Linked DNA regions of Saccharomyces cerevisiae S288C. The gene in region 1 interacts genetically with each later gene. Each region holds a gene or a part of one and is shown in the gene's direction. Other genes may lie near its edges.

Region 1 (5,323 bases):
GAATATTGGTTTTAGAAACACGTTTCGAATCTTCAGTATGAGTTGACGGAGGTGTGGAATCGGTTGGACTCACAGCTTTTGAAAGGACATTTCTCGGTTGCTCAGGATGTAGTTCGATGTCAGATTGGAAGTCATGGTCAGATTCTATGTTAAGATCATCGGATTGTTGGATCTCATTTGACGCAATGAACGATTGATATGAAGCAGTTAAACGGTTTAAGTCTTCATCGAAAGTGAGTGCGTCGTAATTGAATTGATCTAATCTGGATTCCTTGCCCTGAAGAATAACATAGTTAGTTGTATCTACTGTCTTCTTTAAGGATGGAAGATAGATGATATATCCATAAGAGTTTCGAGACGGATGTAGAGCGTAGCCTGGGATGCCACGAGGATGTATTTTGGAGTTAGGGTTGTGATCATTGACGATAACAGGTTGACCGAAAGGTAACAAAGTACTGATATCAAGTCCTGCCAAGCCAGCATGTTGTCTTGCAGATTTTTTGCTTTTAGGTGAAGCTAGTGAATTTCTCACAATAGTAGAAAATTCGATTGCAGAGAACCATAAATGGTTCGGTAAACCACTACATTGCAGTTGAGTACGGCAGTCATCTAATAAGGTACGGTTGAGCCGTTCAGCGACTCCATGTGCTCGGGAATCCGCTGTGGTTGTATAGCATGGAGTTATACCATTTTTTTCAAGGAATTTATGGAGAGTTCTGTTAGTATACTCAGAACCACGGTCCATTTGTATAACCAAGACACTGGCCTGAAACTGGTTCTTAATAAAAGCTAGTATCGTAGTAAAAACATCGAGGATAGAGTCCTCGCGACGGTCGTGTAATGGATAAACCCAACGGAATTTTGTTGTCTCATCAGTAAATGAGATGAAATAGGATGGTGCACTTTTTGGTAGGTTGTGAACTGGACCAAATATGTCAGTATGTAGGTATTGAAAGGGTTCGTATGAATTTTGGTATTTTAGTCGTGAACCTTTGATATGTCTGTGTTTGGTGCTTTTGCCGATTAAACAATCAGGACATTGATAGTCAATAGCACTAGACCAGTCGACATCTGATTCGTTAAAATACGTGATGGTGTTATTTTTAAGTGAGTATCGAATTGTCTGTGCATTGGCATGCGCAAGCATTCGATGAATGAAAGGATAAGGATATTTGCGTGTACTTTCACTTGTATGGACATTATTGATGGTGGGTACGGAGATATTTGATGGAAGCAAGTACTTTTTAGATACCCAGTAAAAGTCTCCATATTTTACGATAGGTGCAAGTACAGTGCCGTCAGACCGTTCTAAGACGTTTTTGGTAAAGCATGCTGTGATATCTACTGCAGCCAATTCATTCAAACTGAGTAAGTCATAGGCTATGTTAGGAGTGTGCAATACCTTTATTGATGTTTTGGTGTTGTCCTGGAAGTGAAATTGTAGGTCACCAATAGCGTTAATTGGTATATTTCTTTTTTGAGCATCAACTACGTTTATGTCAGGATTAGATGATGCTGAGTGTATGTGATGAGCAGATCTTATAAGGGTTCGTGATGCTCCTGAATCGAGAAGGAGGTGTCCAGGGAGTTCATCATCAGAATGATTAGTATGATTTACTGTAGATTCAGTAAGTTTCTGGCCTAAGATGAAGGTCGTGCTTATTGTTCAATTGAATCGGTTCAGTAGTTGATTTACTGATGGAATCGTTGTCCGTGCTGGGAGAGTTATTAGATGTGGATACATTGTGAGCCCTGGCTGTTTTCGATTTCGAATTATTTGTTTTTTGAGGATTCCGAGCTATAACTTTGGGTTTGGTTGTATTCGTATAGCTGCGAGAATCATTCTTCTCATCACTCGGATTTCTCCTGTAATTAGGTTTGCTGTTTCTCGATCCCTGTTGTTCTTCATAAATAGCATGGATATCTAAGAACAGTTCAGCGACTGTCATATTTAGATGTCGATGACGTGTGTAGCGTAAAAATTTATATTCGCCAGATAGACCTCTCATAATTAATTGGCATGCGACCTTGTTATTGATATGAATGCCATTATTGTTCAGTCTGTCGATAATGTTTGTGACTTTTGTTTCAAATGCATCTGCAGGTGTACTGCCATTATATTGCAAATTTGCCAGGGTCACAATGTCGTTTGCCTCTTGGGTATCAGATTGCATTTTTTCAATACTTTTGGAAAGAATTTTCATGATATCCGTATAATCAACGGATAGGATGTCTTTGACCCAGGTAGGTAGGAATTGAGAGGGAGCAAATATTTGAAAAGTGTTATACAAGAAGGTGAGTTCATCATCAGTGATCTGACGTACGGGTTTTCCGTTTACTGTCGGAATAATACCACCGAGATTCGAGTTTTGTAAAAATTTGATGTATGTTTTAACCCAATTTGGAAAATCATTAGGTGAGGTTAACATTGGTGGTGGTCTGACATATTTTTTAGTGGATGTCATATCAGAGTCCGCTGAGGATGAATCAGTAAATGTATTACCTGACTCAGGTGATGGAGTGCTCAGAGGCGTTCCAACTGATGATGGATACTGCGGAAACTGTGATTGTGGCCCAGGTGGAAAGTACATAGGCGACATTTGATAAGGTGTATACGGAATCATAGATGGGTGTCCGTAAAATGACCAACCAGATGGATTGGCTTGGTTTTGGGTCATCATGCACTGCTGTGGGTACGGCCCATTCTGTGGAGGTGGTACTGAAGCAGGTTGAGGAGAGGCATGATGGGGGTTCTCTGGAACAGCTGATGAAGCAGGTGTTGTTGTCTGTTGAGAGTTAGCCTTAGTGGAAGCCTTATCATATTCTTGAATTTTGGAAGCTGAAACGTCTAACGGATCTTGATTTGTGTGGACTTCCTTAGAAGTAACCGAAGCACAGGCGCTACCATGAGATATATGTGGGTAATTAGATAATTGTTGGGATTCCATTGTTGATAAAGGCTATAATATTAGGTATACAGAATATACTAGAAGTTCTCCTCGAGGATATAGGAATCCTCAAAATGGAATCTATATTTCTACATACTAATATTACGATTATTCCTCATTCCGTTTTATATGTTTATATTCATTGATCCTATTACATTATCAATCCTTGCGTTTCAGCTTCCTCTAACATCGATGACAGCTTCTCATAACTTATGTCATCATCTTAACACCGTATATGATAATATATTGATAATATAACTATTAGTTGATAGACGATAGTGGATTTTTATTCCAACAGAAGGTGATCTAAAGATTGAGAAACAGTCACCAGATTTAGGGGAAGCTGAAATGCAATGATTGATAATGTAATAAGAAGCGAGAGGGAAAGTATAAAAAGGAAGTGATCAATTTGTGAATAATTTGATAACCGTTGGGATTCTATTGTTCGCAAGGGCTTTATTTTATTATGTGTACAGAATATAATAAAATTTCCCCTGAGAGATATACCAATCCTCAAATTGGAATCGATACTCCTATATAATACAATTACAATTATTTCTCCCTCCCTTTCGTATGTTTCATTATCCTAGTACATTATCAATCCTTATATTTCTGCTTCCATTAAATTTTACGACTGTTTCTCAATGTTTAGATCATCTTCTTACACTGTATATGATAATGTACGAGTGGCATGAATACTACTGAACAGATGATATTTTATAGCTTCATTCCAACAGAAAGAACATAAAGTAATATCGTTACGTAAAACTATCGATTCCCTTTTGACGATTCCTACATCCTCGAGAAGAAGTTCTAGTATATTCTGTGTACCTAATATTGTAGGCTCTAACAACAATGGAATCCCAACAATTAATCATCTTGATTATTTTATTCCCCGCGTTTTAGAGCATCAATCTTGCCAGCTTATAGCTGGTCATTGTCGACGATAATCTCAAGCACAGGGCTAAAAAATAAATTGAAACGGACAGGAATTGAACCTGCAACCCTTCGATTGCAATCTTATTCCGTGGAATTTCCAAGATTTAATTGGAGTCGAAAGCTCTACCATTGAGCCACCGCTTCAACTTTTATTGTTTATATTGACACCTGTATAACAATATAACCACAATAAAAGGTTCATTCAAAGCTCCGGCTAGCATTCGGCGATTAATGAAGAAAGTTAAACCGTGATTTATTACTTCTTGCTCGTTTTTTCCATCATAAGTTCGCACAGAGCAGTATATATAGTGATTTGCAAATATGAATAGCGGTGGTAGTGATAGTTTCGATTATCTTCTTCAATTAACAAAAGCTTTAAGTGCAGAGTGTCGGGCTAACAGACAAGAGACCGATCGAATAGAACTATTGTTAAAGCGCCTTGCCAAACAGTCAGGAATATCTTATGATAATTTGAGCAAAAACATAATTCCAGATTCATGGAAAGATAATGCATCTCAAAAAGCATCTCCCCCCACTGAGGCACAGAAGCTTATCAGCGAAAATTTTAAACTCATATACGAGATTGAAAAACAAGAGTACTTCAATACAAAGGCTGTTGCGCTAATTAACAACATAAATGAGCATTTCTCATATATTAAAAATTTTATCGACGAACAGAATGCAATAAGAGAACGAAATATTGCCACATTTTCATCAGAGAAGCTTGATGAAAGGAACAAAAGTCTTCAACAAAATTACGAGTCATTGAAGACAGAAAATGAAGAAACAAAAAAAAAATTGCATTCAATTATCAAACAGTTTGAAAAACTTTTGAAGGAAGTGGATTGGGATCGTATATCTAAAGATTCCAGAGATTACAGCCGCTTTAAAAAACAGTTGGAATACCTGCAAGACACGTACCAGGTACTGAAATAGCCTACGATGGATCGAACAAAAGTGTAAGCAGACGTGAAATAGCAAACCTTTGAATGCATTTATATATTTTAATATACTTATAACAACGGATAAATGTTTAGATCCCTTTTGAAAAAAAAAAAAAATTAGGATGAACCGAAAAAAATCATACTCGTATTCCTCTATCGTCTTCACTGGCATTATTGTGTAAAGAATTATTACCAAATAACCACCTGAACCACCCCACAGTATCATTCTTTAAATCTTTAAAATAACGGCGGCTCAGCATCTTTAAACAAAGAGCTTCATAGGTGGGGTTGTTAGTGGTCATCAAATCATTTACGCATCTATCATATTCGTCTTTATCACTCTTGGGATCTATTGCAGAGCATATTCCAGTTTTACCCTGTCCCTGAAGAGAGCTTTTCAACCCAATTAATTTGGAATCAAACTGAGCAACACTACTTTCAATATCTCGTACACGAACTTCCAATATCCTCATATCATATTTCAACCTAGAT
Region 2 (7,200 bases), on another chromosome or scaffold:
AATACAAGGCTTAACAAAGAATGATCTATCCCAAGAGAACTCGCTTGCTCGTCATATGCAAGGAACAACGAAGTTATCTAGTCCGAACAGAAGAGCAACAAGATTACTAGCACCCACAGTAATATCTAGGAATTCCAAAGGGAATATAGAGAGACCTACCTTAAACAGAAACAGATCATCCGATCTTTCATCATCGCCTAGGATAAATCATACGCATGGCGAACATGCAGTAAAACCACGCCAATTGTTTCCTATCCCGCTGAACAAAGTCGACACTAAGGGTAGTCATATCCCTCAATTAACTAAAGAAAAGGCTTTAGAACTTCTTAAAAGGTCGACTGGCACCACGGGTAAGGAGAATGTACGAAGCCCGGAACGCAAAAGCTCATTAGAAGATTACGCACAAAAATTGAGCAGTCCTTATAAAGAACCTGAGCACAGCATATATAAACTTTCCATGTCGCCAGAAGGTAAATTTCAATTAAACATTCAACAAAAAGATATTGAAAGCGGATTTGATGATACCAGTATGATGGAAGATGAAAATGATAAGGATTTTATTACATGGAAAAATGAGCAAGTTTCGAAATTGAATGGATTCTCCTTTACAGATATTTGAATTTCTTAAAAGCGCATTCATTTAACCCTCTGATCTCTTATTTATTTTTTTTGTGGTTTTTTTTTTCACATCACTTTCTAGCCTTCGCTACATTGTCTCTTTCTTTCCTTCTTTTATTCTATCATTCTCCCTTTCCTTTTTCCATTGCACCGTGACTCTGGATTAATATGGACATAATAAAATTTGTAATATTCAATATAATCATGTAAGCATTCCAAGTAAATACGCAGGTTGGCTAGTCTAAATCGAAAATGTAACATTACTACCATACTATATATCTACATATTGTAATTGTGTAGGTATATACTAATCATTTACCAATGTTTAGGTTCCATGCCTTCTGGTGGTGAAGTTTTAACCGTTCCCTTAGATACGTCTTCCCAGTCTGTACTCAATGCAGTACCATTACTTTCTATAAAGGATTTCATCATAGCCCTTTTGGTATCTGGATCCGCTCCAGCGTAAAGCTTTTGAAAGAAACTATCAGCCGATCCCGCTTCTTCATCAGCTTCTTCATCAATGTCAAGTTTAGACCAATCTATTTTTTTTTTAGAGGACGATGGATAAGACAATCTCTCTTTTGATGCCGTTTCTGCTGATAATAAGCGGGTTGCAGAATCAGAATTTTTACCCTCATCTGATAACCTTGAGGATTCCGTTAAAATATCTTCTTCCAACTTCTTCCATTGCGTGCTATCAATTTTGCTCAAGGTAATTTCCAGCTTTTTTGGGAAAATTTTTAATGACACTGCTTTTGGATCCACCTCATGCGAAAGCTTAGCGTTGTATTGAAATTCAGATCCAGATTTCGGTACTTGGTACGATATCGATAAAGTTCTTCTATCGTTTGGAGAAATATATATATTGACTTGTTCCTTAGACTCAGGAAGATTAACAGTAAATAATGATATAGTGACAGAGGTGCTGGATTGATACCAATCGATTTTAAATTTAGGGGATTCTTGAGGAGCGGTTTCAATTTTGAGAGGTGAAATGGGACTATGAGAAGAATTATTATCTCCTCTGTTTTCAATACTTTCCACTGGTTTAATTGTATGCTTATTAGTTGAATCCTTCTGCTTTTTATTTTTTTTATTCAATTTTGTCTCCAGACGATCTTCCCATAAAGGCAAAGTGTCATCAACGTAACCAAGATTCTTGGCTTTTTTAAAATAAGATTGGGCCAGTTCATAATCTTTGATATTGAAGAAATGAACAAAATAACGAAAGTTAACAAGACCAATCTTCGATCTATCGCCCCTACCCTCAGCTGTCATTAGAGCCTTGTCAAGAAGTTCCTTTGCGTTTTCCATAGTTGCATCGCTGTGCCAATCAGAAAACCCAAAGTATAGCTTTTCAAGACATGCTGCCTTAAAAATGAGAGCCGTTAAATTTGTGGGTGAGCCTTTGAGAATTTCATCATAAAGATGGAGGGCCTTCAGTGGTTCCTTCTCATCATACAAAGCTTTGTAGGCAGTTTTTAAATCTTTTTCAACAGGCATTTCTTTTTCGTTTCCTTAAAACAACTACCTCTTTAACCTTAAAAGACTTCTGCCATTACTTTGTCATAGTGCTTTCGTTCAATTATTAGCGTTCAAAGATATATCGCATATGATCAACTCATCTTGAGACCTTACACCCTAAAGTGCTTATATTGGCTTCGTTTATAGTGATCAAAGTCATCAATATAGTGCTCGTCAGTGTAAGACTGAGAAGATCATTCTTAAAAGAATTAGCAGATGATGCATAAGCACTATGGCGGTATTATCTACTATCATTTCTCTTGTATCTGTGCTGAGCCTGGTTCTATTGAAGAAGAATTCAAAATTTGAATGTCTCAATAGAAAAACCCGGACATTCCATAATGCAAGATCAAAATTTTTCGATGAGCTTTGTTTTGCATTGGCAAATTTTTACCTGCTAAGAAGAAGTCTACATGGAGAAACAGCACCATTATCTCAAGTATGTTCTTAACATAGAGGTCGTTCAGTCAGCGCTAGATAAATCTCATCGGCGATCATAGTTCAGTATTTTTCTAAAGTTTCTTTAAAGGAGCATAATATGACCGAAAACCAAACCGCACATGTAAGGGCGTTGATATTGGATGCCACCCCATTAATTACGCAGTCCTACACACATTACCAGAATTATGCACAGTCTTTTTATACTACTCCCACAGTTTTTCAAGAAATTAAGGATGCTCAAGCAAGGAAAAACCTTGAAATTTGGCAGAGCCTCGGAACTTTGAAATTAGTACATCCAAGTGAAAACTCGATAGCCAAAGTAAGTACGTTCGCCAAATTGACCGGTGACTACTCCGTACTGAGTGCCAATGATTTGCATATTCTTGCTTTGACATACGAGTTAGAAATTAAACTAAATAATGGCGATTGGAGACTGAGGAAAAAACCAGGTGATGCATTAGATGCGTCCAAGGCTGACGTTGGTACGGACGGCAAACAGAAGCTCACAGAAGATAATAAAAAGGAGGAGGACTCTGAAAGTGTTCCAAAAAAAAAGAACAAGAGAAGAGGTGGAAAAAAGCAAAAGGCAAAAAGAGAAGCAAGAGAAGCAAGAGAAGCTGAAAATGCAAACCTTGAGCTAGAGAGTAAAGCTGAGGAACATGTTGAGGAGGCTGGATCCAAAGAGCAGATATGTAATGATGAAAATATAAAGGAATCTTCCGATTTAAATGAAGTATTCGAGGATGCTGATGATGATGGTGATTGGATTACCCCCGAGAACTTAACAGAAGCAATTATTAAGGATAGTGGTGAAGATACCACTGGTTCATTGGGTGTAGAAGCGTCCGAAGAGGATCGCCATGTCGCATTGAATCGACCAGAGAATCAGGTGGCATTGGCGACTGGCGATTTTGCCGTCCAAAATGTAGCGTTGCAGATGAATCTAAATCTAATGAATTTCATGTCAGGTCTGAAAATCAAGCGAATCCGTAATTATATGCTAAGATGCCACGCCTGTTTCAAAATATTTCCTCTACCAAAAGACGGCAAGCCAAAGCACTTCTGTGCCTCATGCGGTGGACAGGGTACCTTATTAAGATGCGCAGTTTCCGTTGACTCACGCACGGGGAACGTTACACCGCACTTGAAGTCGAACTTCCAATGGAACAATAGAGGAAACAGATATTCTGTAGCCAGCCCCTTATCTAAGAACTCCCAAAAAAGGTACGGCAAAAAGGGACACGTACATTCTAAACCACAGGAAAATGTGATTCTCAGAGAAGATCAAAAGGAGTACGAAAAGGTGATAAAGCAAGAAGAATGGACAAGAAGACACAACGAGAAGATTCTAAACAATTGGATTGGTGGCGGTTCTGCGGATAACTATATTTCTCCATTTGCAATTACTGGGTTGAAGCAGCATAACGTCCGCATTGGTAAGGGAAGGTACGTCAACAGTTCCAAAAGGAGAAGTTAGTGTTTTTCATAAATATCTGTGTAGTGTGTACTAGTTGGCAGCTGCCCTTTTTCTTTTTCTTTTTTTTTTTTTTTTTTTTTTTTTTTTCACGTGGTTTTTCTATGACGTTTTCCAAAACAAGCGTGTCATGTGAGCTTTTTTGCCCTTTAACTTTCTGGTTGGAGAGTCCAAAAGACCGAAAAGGTAAGAAAACGTTTTATTGCTCAGTATGCCCTCCCCTTATGAGATGAATGGTGTTACAGCACTTTGAAGAGGGCTCGTTTTGAGGACTTTTTGATCAGGATTAATACTAGATTGCCAAAAAAAGGATAGCCTTTTATAAGATTACTTTAGTTCAAAGAAGAGACCAGAAAGAGGAATACTGGCCATAATTATAGTGCAGAGACGCAATGACAAACAAATCTAGCCTGAAGAACAATAGGAAAGGGGTTGCTTCGAATACTCTCTCTGGAGCTGAGCAGGCCAATATAGGTTCATCGGCAATGCCTGACACAAATTCTACGGGACCATTTTCTTCCGTTTCTAGTCTGGACACTCCTGTAGTAAGGAAATCAACTAGTCCCACTGGTTCACAAACTAAGTCAATCATGAATGCTAGCGGAACTTCTGGGGCAGTTGTAAGTAATACACCAGAGCCAGGGTTAAAAAGGATACCAACTGTTACATTCAGCGATCCAAAGTTGGGTAGTCTCAGGTCGGATGTGGAGCAAACTCCACCTAACCAGGTGGCCAGACAGTCCAGCGAAAAGAAAGCAACGTCTGTACACATCGCAGCGGAGGGTGCAAATCAAGGAAGAAACTTGAAAGACATAAATACAAAAGTACCAAAAGATGGCGAGGCTTCTGCTTCTTCTTTTTCGACTCCAACCTCTATTCTCTCCAATGCTGATATGGGGAATAACATATCCAGCCTGCTGGCTAAAAAGCTAAGTTTCACCGGTGGAACAGATTCTATTTTAAACTCTGACAATAGTTCCGATAGCCCCAGAAAGGAGCACCCACATTTCTACGTGGAAGATCCTTTACACACCCCATCAGTTAGATCAAGGTCTAACAGTACTAGTCCTCGCCCCTCTGTGGTAGTGAATACATTTAACCCCATCAACATTGAACGAGAGGGCTCCATATCAAAGACTGGAGAGCCCACATTGTTGGAGTCTGTCTTGGAAGAAGCAATGTCTCCCAATGCAGTCTCAAATCCCTTGAAGAGAGAAAATATTATGACCAATATGGATCCAAGGCTTCCCCAAGATGACGGCAAGCTACACGTTCTTTTTGGGGCAACAGGTTCTTTGTCTGTTTTCAAACTCAAGCACATGATCAGAAAATTAGAAGAAATTTACGGAAGGGACAAAATATGCATACAAGTTATACTAACTAACTCAGCAACCAAATTTTTTGCAATGAAGTATATGAGGAAAAATAAGAAACAACACAATAGTATCGATACTTCTTTCAACAGCACCAATTCTAATGCTGGCAATATAACTGGTAACAAGAAAAAAGTAGCCTCTCTTGAAAAATTTAGCATTCAGAAGACGTCTTCAAACTCAGCGGCTTCTCAGACAAATAATAAACAGGAGGAAGAAAAACAAATGGCCTCTACTACTGGATTTCCTTCGACACTTGGTGGTAGTCGTACGTACAGCAACTCTTCAAACGTTGTATCGCAACATCCTCAAATTGAACTGCCAGCACATATACAATTTTGGACAGACCAAGACGAGTGGGATGTATGGCGACAACGAACTGATCCTGTATTACACATAGAACTACGTCGTTGGGCAGATATACTAGTTGTCGCACCATTAACCGCAAACACGTTGGCCAAGATTGCCCTTGGTTTATGTGACAACCTTTTGACAAGTGTAATAAGGGCATGGAATCCAACGTTTCCCATATTCCTAGCGCCTTCAATGGGTAGCGGTACGTTCAATTCCATAATGACTAAAAAACATTTTCGAATTATTCAAGAAGAGATGCCTTGGGTAACTGTATTTAAACCCTCAGAAAAAGTCATGGGCATAAACGGTGACATCGGGTTAAGTGGGATGATGGATGCAAATGAGATTGTTGGCAAGATAGTCGTCAAACTAGGTGGTTATCCCGATGTTTCTGCGGGAAAGGAAGAAGAAGAGGATGAAGATAACGATGAGGAGGATGATAATAAGAAGAACGATACTGGTGGTAAAGATGAAGATAATGACGACGACGACGATGACGATGATGATGATGACGATGATGACGACGACGACGACGACGACGACGACGACGACGACGACGATGATGATGATGACGACGATGATGACGACGATGATGACGACGACGACGACGACGATGAAGATGACGAAGACGAAGATGAAGACGATGAAGGAAAAAAGAAAGAAGATAAAGGAGGGCTACAGCGATCTTAAATAGGACTAATTTCATTATTGTAAAACTTTTGAACTATATATATCTTTACATAGAATAAATTTGCATTAATCACTGATAACCAGAAGAGAAGGCTAAAAATAGGCAAGTAGGACACTTAACTCATTTTCCAAAGGGAGTTTTATGTCTCATAGTTAGCGCTTACGATGCTGCGGAGGTGCGTCGTCACTCTATCGGATGTTCATTCTGAGGGAAAGGGAGTGGTTCAAATCCGATTTAACCTTGCCAGCTTATCGCAAAGCGGGTGAGATCAAATGCTCCACAGCTCTGCGGTTCGTTTCACCTTTCTGTTTTCTGCGAGCTTCGGCCCTGTCAGGGAAAAAAAGAAAGAAGGGGGCGGTGGCAAAGACTGCATCGGCCCAGAAGCAAAGAAGATATAAAAGGGAAATACTTGCCACCGAAGTCTTAGACTTTGCATAAGAGATATTCTCGCCTTTCCCGCTTGAAGAGTTCCTGACTCTATCATACATCTTGGATAAAAGGATCAAGCAGCCTATCCGCTAAACCGCTATTTATTCTGCTTTACTGATTCATTTACATCAAGTGAAGCACAAAACTATCAAAATCACCAAAAGAATAGAAACTAAAAATGTCTGATATAAACGAAATCGAAATTCCATCCAGAAAGGATGAAATTAGACAAGTTACTCCCAAGGATCCCATGCATGAGATCGAGGATAAAAGCACATACCACGCTAAGATAAAGA
Region 3 (7,185 bases), on another chromosome or scaffold:
ATTACGGCAAGGACACCCCCTGAAGTGCACAGCCGCACAGCCGCACAAGTCGGATTTGGGAAGACGACAAAGAGGGGACTTCTAGAACAAAATTGCTCCCCAGCGTCTTTTAAGGGAGGGGGTTGCAATGCAAAAGCACCCTGTATATCATCAAATCTTGCATTACTACCCGCAGTTTGTACTATTTACAAGGACGTAAAAGTGGGATGAACGGATGGAAAGATGAGATCACTATTCCCTGTTTTCTGTCTCCGCTGTTATCCCCTGCTTTCGATATAAAAACATTAGCTAAATACCCTAACAACTTATATTATGTTAGAGATCCTATCTGTAATTCTTATCCGAAATTAGCCACTTTTCTAGGGTTTTCAAACAACCATAAACAATTACTTGTATTGCGATCACGATAAGCATTAAGTATAACCTCATATATTTCCGTTTCTAATAATCAATGTCCTACAAAAAGTTTGTGTACTTTATTAACCTTTTCTTTCTACTAGGGGCTACATTGTTGACTTTTTTTCTGATACTAGCAGGTGGCAGGACCACAGGAGTGTTGAAGAATTTTTATTGGTTTCAGGCATCCACTTCGGGCTTTAACTCGGCGCCCTCCGTAACCAGATGGTACAATTATAACTGGTGCGGCTGGGAAAGCCGCGGAATAGCAGTCAACTGCTCTTCTAAGATGGCAGCTCAGCCGTTTTCACCAAGGGACAACTTTGGCAGTTCCCCCCTCATGCCCTCAACTTTTTTAAACAACAGAAATGCCTACTATTATCTTTCAAGAGTGGGCTGGGCAATGCTTCTAATCGGGCTTTTCTTTTTGTTAATCACGTTAGTTTCGGTTATTGCCAGTTTAATCAGATACAATAGACGTACCGCCGCTCTGGCAACTGCAATGAGCTGGATCACGCTTTTCTTCATAACCCTATCCGCTTGTCTGTACACAGGATGTTACGCTAAGGCAGTAAAGGCGTTTCACCATGAGAATCGTGATGCTAGACTAGGTCCCAAGAATTTTGGGCTTATTTGGACCACAGTATTTTTGTTAATTGTAAACGCCATTTGCTGTACTATCATGGTGGCTACTCATAAAAGAAACGAGTACATCTATGACCGCAGTTTCGCTTCTACCAAGACAGTGGACTCACAAACTCCAACTCCAGTTCCAACAAATGGAGGAATACCTTCCTCGGTGCCTGTAACTGAGGTCCAACAATCTCAATCCCACCAGAATCATAGGTTCTTTAAGAAATTGAGAACGAAAAAGAGAACTGTGACTAGCGCAGGCGATGAACCAGACCGGGTTCAAGAGGAACGCGTCTATACTGAACAGAATGTTCCTGTTGTATCATAGGGTGCAAAGGAGGCTTTTTTTTCCCTTATTATTAAAGCTAGGATTACAAATAATAACAAACCTAATTGCAGCGATTAGCCTTCTCCTATTCTCTGTTGATACCAATTTTATTTATTACTAATATTTTGCACCGATATTCCACTAATCTTTTATGTTTCCCTAAATATAATATCTTTAATTCTCAACCTCTAATAATACTAATACTATACGTCAAACAATGTAATGATACCATCTAATAAAAAGAAATCGTATTTTAACTTCCTTTTAATGTATCATACACATCTTACTAACTCTTTTTCTTTTCTTTTCACTATTTCGACAGCAATGAATTAGACACAAACCAAGAGTCTTCTGCTACACAGCACGGCTTCGGCTACCATATTGACAAATCTTATGACAGGATGCTGGGTTTGGGCCAATCTGCTCAAGCATATGCAAGTGATGATGCTCTCAATATGAACCAGGCAAAGGATAAAACGTACAGCGTTCCAGGGTGTGGCAGGGCAAGCGACCTCAAATATCCTCATCGTGACGGACACTCTTCGTCTCACGAACAGCGCTCTGGAATTTTACCAACTGAATGCCCAGGCCCTACTTTAAACACCGGTGCCGGTAGCATCGGTATCCCGGGATGTGGCAAAGTCACAAATAGAGTGGTCAGTGACTATAACAAAAACGCTAGGTCTACGCTAGCCAATTTTGATAGTAGTAAAATGACCGAGGCAAGAATGAACAGCAAGAACGTGCCGATTGGTTGTCAAGACACCTCTGATCCGCACTTCAATGGGCCTATCGACCAACATGTTCCCGGTGCAGGTTCACCTCAAAGTCAACCTCATCACATCGACGCGTGGAACAGCGTTTCTTCTCGCCGTGCCGATAATAACAACCAAGACATGATGGACCCCCAAACGGCTTCCTCAGACAGGTACAATGAGAAAATGATGAGAGAAGAAAATAGCGGCGTCTCTGCTTCTTCTTACACCACTAAAGTGCAGGGATATCCCGCAAGTATTCCATCATTCAATCAGGAAACTGAGGAAAAGGAAACCTACGCCTACGGTGTGGGTGATCGGCACAATGTCCCAAGAAACCAAATTATGGATGAGACTAATCCTTCGGCTAACGTTCTAAACGCTACTGATCATAGTATTTCGCACCCTGAGAATAAGGTCTTGCATAAGTAGTTTTTGTTTTTCCTACAGTTTTTATTTATAACCAACCTTATACTTTTATATCCTTGTCTACATATTATTGTCATAACGAATTTTTTATTGGTTAAATGCAGCTATTGCGTTCTCTTTATTGCATAAATATATTCTATTACAATATGGGAGGGCATTATCAGCCTCCATGTGCTTGCGTGCTGTCAAAGAAGGAGTGCGGGGATGACAATATGAATAGCCGCCGAAATTATGCCCGGCTGCAGTTGACCGTATAAATAACAGTGCTTCAATGAAAGGACACAAAAAGCAAGATCGTCCCATTTTCTACCTTAATCAGTATAGTAAAAATCAAAAACATAATATATTACTGTTATGATGAATAAAGTAGATCAAATCATCGGTTACAAAAAGTACGAAGTGAAACTACCAAAAGATCGACAAGTAAAGAAAAATAAATCAAAAGGTGGAAATGTTGATCAAATAGATACTAAGAGGGAAAAGGATAAAATGAGAGCTTTTGGTGAAGAAAGGAAAAAGTTCTTAGATAAAATGGCTAAAAACAAAAAAAAAAATACAAGTAGAAAAGATAGAGAGAAGCCAAAAGAAGTAGAAAAAGAAAACTACAAAAGAGAAGACAAAAGGCTAAAAGAACAGAAAAAATTATCACTGGCAAAAGAATTTCGTTTCAAAGAACCGAATTCAGAAGCCATTAATCAGAACACAGCAGCTGAAAATGGTAAACCTAAACCACAGACTGGACTAGATTTTGACATAGACCATCAAACCGTGTCCAAGATCATGATAGATCAGGCTATTCAAACATCTAGTCCTCTTAATGTCCAACTCACGGAACTTTTCAATGATAACGTCCTCGACGTCTCGAAAGATAGTCAGTTTGTCCTTCAAGACATGGAGTTCACCTCCTGGGAACGACGCTGGTCAAACTGCAGCACGACCAGTAATGCGACTACGGTCTCATCAGTTCCTGATCCCAAATATAATATCAACTACAACGACATAACCTCCTTCAATTCAGTAGCGCTAATTACCGAAGATCTTAACATATCTGCATCATCTAATGGTCTGCATGAGAGAGGTAAAAAGCTACTGCAGCAAGAGATGGAATACTCAAACAAGGTCAAAAATGTCACCATCGGGCTTGAAAGATTGTGTATGGATGAAAAACCAGTCCCAGATGCAGGAATAACCATGCAACAAGCGTCGCGCTGGTCAGAATTCCCCACTTGTTGCGATCAAGCTGCTATTTAGCTTTTCTAATTTAAAAAATTTATAAACTTCTTATAGTATTTCATCTTTATATCAAATACTATTAGCAAAATAAAAGGAAAGGAAAGGGAAAGGAACTTCTTTAGACTGCTTCGCACTGATTCTATCGCCATCCTTCTTCATGTTCTCAACTATTGGATATCTGCTCTATTTAGAACAATCGTTATTGTTACCCGCGTTAAATGGGGTAACTGATTGCTGCTTTTTTTTCTCGTTGTTTTGGACCTTTTCGGACATGAGAGGTCAAAAGAAAAAACAAACACGACCAAGTAAGCCGGAATAAACAAGTATAACCACCTGATTGAATTGCCTTCTTTAAACAAGCACAGACCTCCAAAAAGAAAAGGCTTTTGAAACGCTGCTCACGCACAGTTGTTTATTCCGTCCACATATTTTACGTGTCAGTTTCCTTTCTGTCTTCTCTTTATTCAATCAATTAGCATTAAAGAGAAAATAAGTCGTGTACTTTGAAAACCTTCTGTTCCTGTTTTCTTCCCGTATTTTTCATTTGCTTCACCAGCTTTTTCTCAACTGATCATATCATTTCAAGTTAAAAGTCTTTGTCATCACTTTTCTGTGAGTTGCAAATATTTGTAAGCGTCACTTACCTAGAGCAGCCTTTATCGATCAATATTTCAGAGGGAAAAACCTGTATCTCTTAGCATGCAAAGTTCAGTTTATTTTGACCAAACAGGGTCATTTGCGTCCAGTAGCGACAACGTTGTGTCTAGTACCACCAACACACACAACATTTCTCCCAGTCATCGTTCCAGTTTGAATCTGAACACTACTTCTCATCCCCACGAAGCGTCGGGTAGAGGAAGCGCAAGTGGGGAGTTGTATTTGAATGACACAAACTCACCCTTAGCGATATCTTCTATGCTAAACACACTTGCCCTTGGAAGTATGCCCCAAGACATTGCAAGCAGCAACATTAGCAATCACGATAACAACATTAAGGGGAGCTACAGCCTAAAATTGTCAAATGTAGCCAAGGATATTACTCTCAGAGAATGCTATGCAATCTTCGCTCTTGCTGAAGGTGTGAAAAGTATAGAATTACAGAAAAAAAACTCTTCATCAAGCATCACTTCTGCCTCATTAGAAGACGAGAATGATATTTTTATCATTGCCAGATTTGAGTTATTGAATCTAGCTATTAATTATGCCGTTATTTTGAATTCGAAAAATGAACTCTTTGGACCCAGTTTTCCCAATAAAACAACCGTTGAAATAATAGATGACACAACAAAAAACTTGGTTTCATTCCCATCATCTGCCATTTTCAATGACACCTCAAGATTGAATAAATCGAACTCGGGAATGAAAAGGCCAAGTCTGTTATCACAAAGATCCAGGTTTTCATTCAGCGATCCATTTTCCAATGATTCTCCTTTAAGCCAACAGCAATCTCAACAGCAGCAGCAACAGCCACAACAGCCACAACAACACTCTACGCAAAAACATTCACCACAACAATGTAATCAACAACAAGTGAATTCTTCAATACCGTTATCTTCTCAAGGCCAGGTTATTGGGTTACATTCTAACCATTCACATCAAGATTTGTCTGTGGAATCAACAATTCAAACATCTGATATTGGCAAATCTTTCCTTTTGAGAGATAACACTGAAATTAATGAAAAGATATGGGGCACAAGCGGTATACCTTCCAGCATCAACGGTTACATGAGCACTCCCCAACCTTCTACGCCAACTTTAGAATGGGGAAATACTTCTGCATCCCAACATGGTTCTTCGTTCTTTTTACCCTCTGCAGCATCGACAGCCATTGCACCTACGAATAGCAACACCAGTGCCAATGCAAACGCCAGCTCCAACAATGGAGCCAGCAATAATGGTGCTAACCAGGCACTCTCTGCCAGCTCGCAACAACCAATGATGCAAATTGGTAACACGATTAACACTTCCCTAACCTCTTCAAATTCATTGCCTCCATACGGTTTAATGTCTTCTCAATCGCAGCACATTTCAAATATGGTAAACACCTCTGATATGAACATTACACCTCAAAAACAGAACAGATTTATGCAACAACCCCAACCAGAGCATATGTATCCTGTGAATCAAAGTAACACTCCTCAAAAAGTACCGCCCGCAAGATTAAGTTCAAGTAGAAATTCACACAAGAATAACTCTACTACCTCATTATCCTCAAATATTACTGGATCTGCCTCGATTTCTCAGGCTGATTTGTCACTACTAGCCAGAATTCCACCTCCTGCCAACCCTGCTGATCAAAATCCACCTTGTAATACCCTTTATGTAGGGAATTTACCCTCCGACGCTACTGAGCAAGAACTAAGACAGCTATTTTCTGGTCAAGAAGGCTTCAGAAGACTATCATTCAGGAATAAGAATACCACATCTAATGGTCATAGTCACGGACCGATGTGCTTCGTTGAATTCGATGATGTCAGTTTTGCAACCAGAGCGTTAGCTGAATTGTATGGTAGACAGTTACCTCGCTCCACTGTGAGCAGTAAGGGAGGTATCAGATTAAGCTTTTCAAAAAACCCACTGGGTGTTAGGGGCCCAAACAGCAGAAGAGGAGGCAGTGGTAACCCAAATCCTAATGTAAATATGCTTTCCAGTTACAATTCTAATGTTGGTCATATAAAAAACTAAAAAAATGGTTCCGCAAAAACCTGATTTCCTTGCATGTATCACATTATATGCATTGCTTTTCATCTTTCCCCCACTATAATAAGAATAATATTTTCTGTCGCATTTTTTCTTTTTCTTTTATTATTTGTTATAATAATATTTTCTAAACCGACTAATAATAAGAATAACATCGATAATACTTTATCTCTTCAATTACGTTAAATTATCTTTTTACTATTACATTACAACGTGCATATAACAGAAATTTTTTCTTTTTCTGTCTAACATTTGAATTGTACTATGAATTAAACCCGCCATCTTTTTTCTTAACTACCATTTTGCGAACTCCTATACCGCTTCTGCAACAACAAGAACTTTTATTTTCAATTTTAATGTGCCATTCATTCCATTTTGCTTGCGCTAATGTGAATAAGATTGAGAGGGAAAAGTCTCACTATCGAATATCGCTCTTTAGTGTGATTATTGTCATCAAAGCACCAAGTGCTTAGGTGAGGTCATATCCGACAAATGTTTTGAAGAGAGAATATCTTTTTTTTATGCTGCCAACTTTTATTCTTTCCTTGTTTAAAAAACTCTGCCTTTGGATATTCTCCCACTATATATATGTATTAGCCTTACTTTTATTCCAGAACTCATTTTTATAGAAGTATATATCGGTATCGACTTCAATGTAATATTTTCAACCCTATGCTACAAGAGCAGATTAAAAAAATATGGGCTACCAGT

The links.
Region 2: mutations in FAR3 (region 1) and VHS3 together harm fitness more than expected from each alone (negative genetic interaction), as found in Saccharomyces cerevisiae (2 studies listed by BioGRID).
Region 3: mutations in FAR3 (region 1) and WHI3 together harm fitness more than expected from each alone (negative genetic interaction), as found in Saccharomyces cerevisiae (2 studies listed by BioGRID).

What each region holds. Positions count from the first base shown.
Region 1 is NC_001145.3:375,378-380,700, forward strand, and holds FAR3 (Far3p), read left to right. Parts: upstream 1-4,208; coding exon 4,209-4,823; downstream 4,824-5,323. Other genes in the region: YMR051C (gag protein), read right to left, coding at 1,626-2,948; STB2 (Stb2p), read right to left, coding at 4,969-5,323. UniProt on the Saccharomyces cerevisiae protein: Participates in the control of the reentry into the cell cycle following pheromone treatment.
Region 2 is NC_001147.6:427,107-434,306, reverse strand, and holds VHS3 (phosphopantothenoylcysteine decarboxylase complex subunit VHS3), read left to right. Parts: upstream 1-4,449; coding exon 4,450-6,474; downstream 6,475-7,200. Other genes in the region: ASE1 (Ase1p), read left to right, coding at 1-619; co-chaperone SGT1, read right to left, coding at 934-2,121; NOB1 (rRNA-binding endoribonuclease), read left to right, coding at 2,681-4,060; TMC1 (Tmc1p), read left to right, coding at 7,083-7,200. UniProt on the Saccharomyces cerevisiae protein: Component of the phosphopantothenoylcysteine decarboxylase (PPCDC) involved in the coenzyme A synthesis. Acts as an inhibitory subunit of protein phosphatase PPZ1, which is involved in many cellular processes such as G1-S transition or salt tolerance.
Region 3 is NC_001146.8:266,882-274,066, reverse strand, and holds WHI3 (mRNA-binding protein WHI3), read left to right. Parts: upstream 1-4,473; coding exon 4,474-6,459; downstream 6,460-7,185. Other genes in the region: YNL194C (uncharacterized protein), read left to right, coding at 452-1,357; YNL195C (uncharacterized protein), read left to right, coding at 1,759-2,544; SLZ1 (Slz1p), read left to right, coding at 2,896-3,792. UniProt on the Saccharomyces cerevisiae protein: Involved in size control and cell cycle.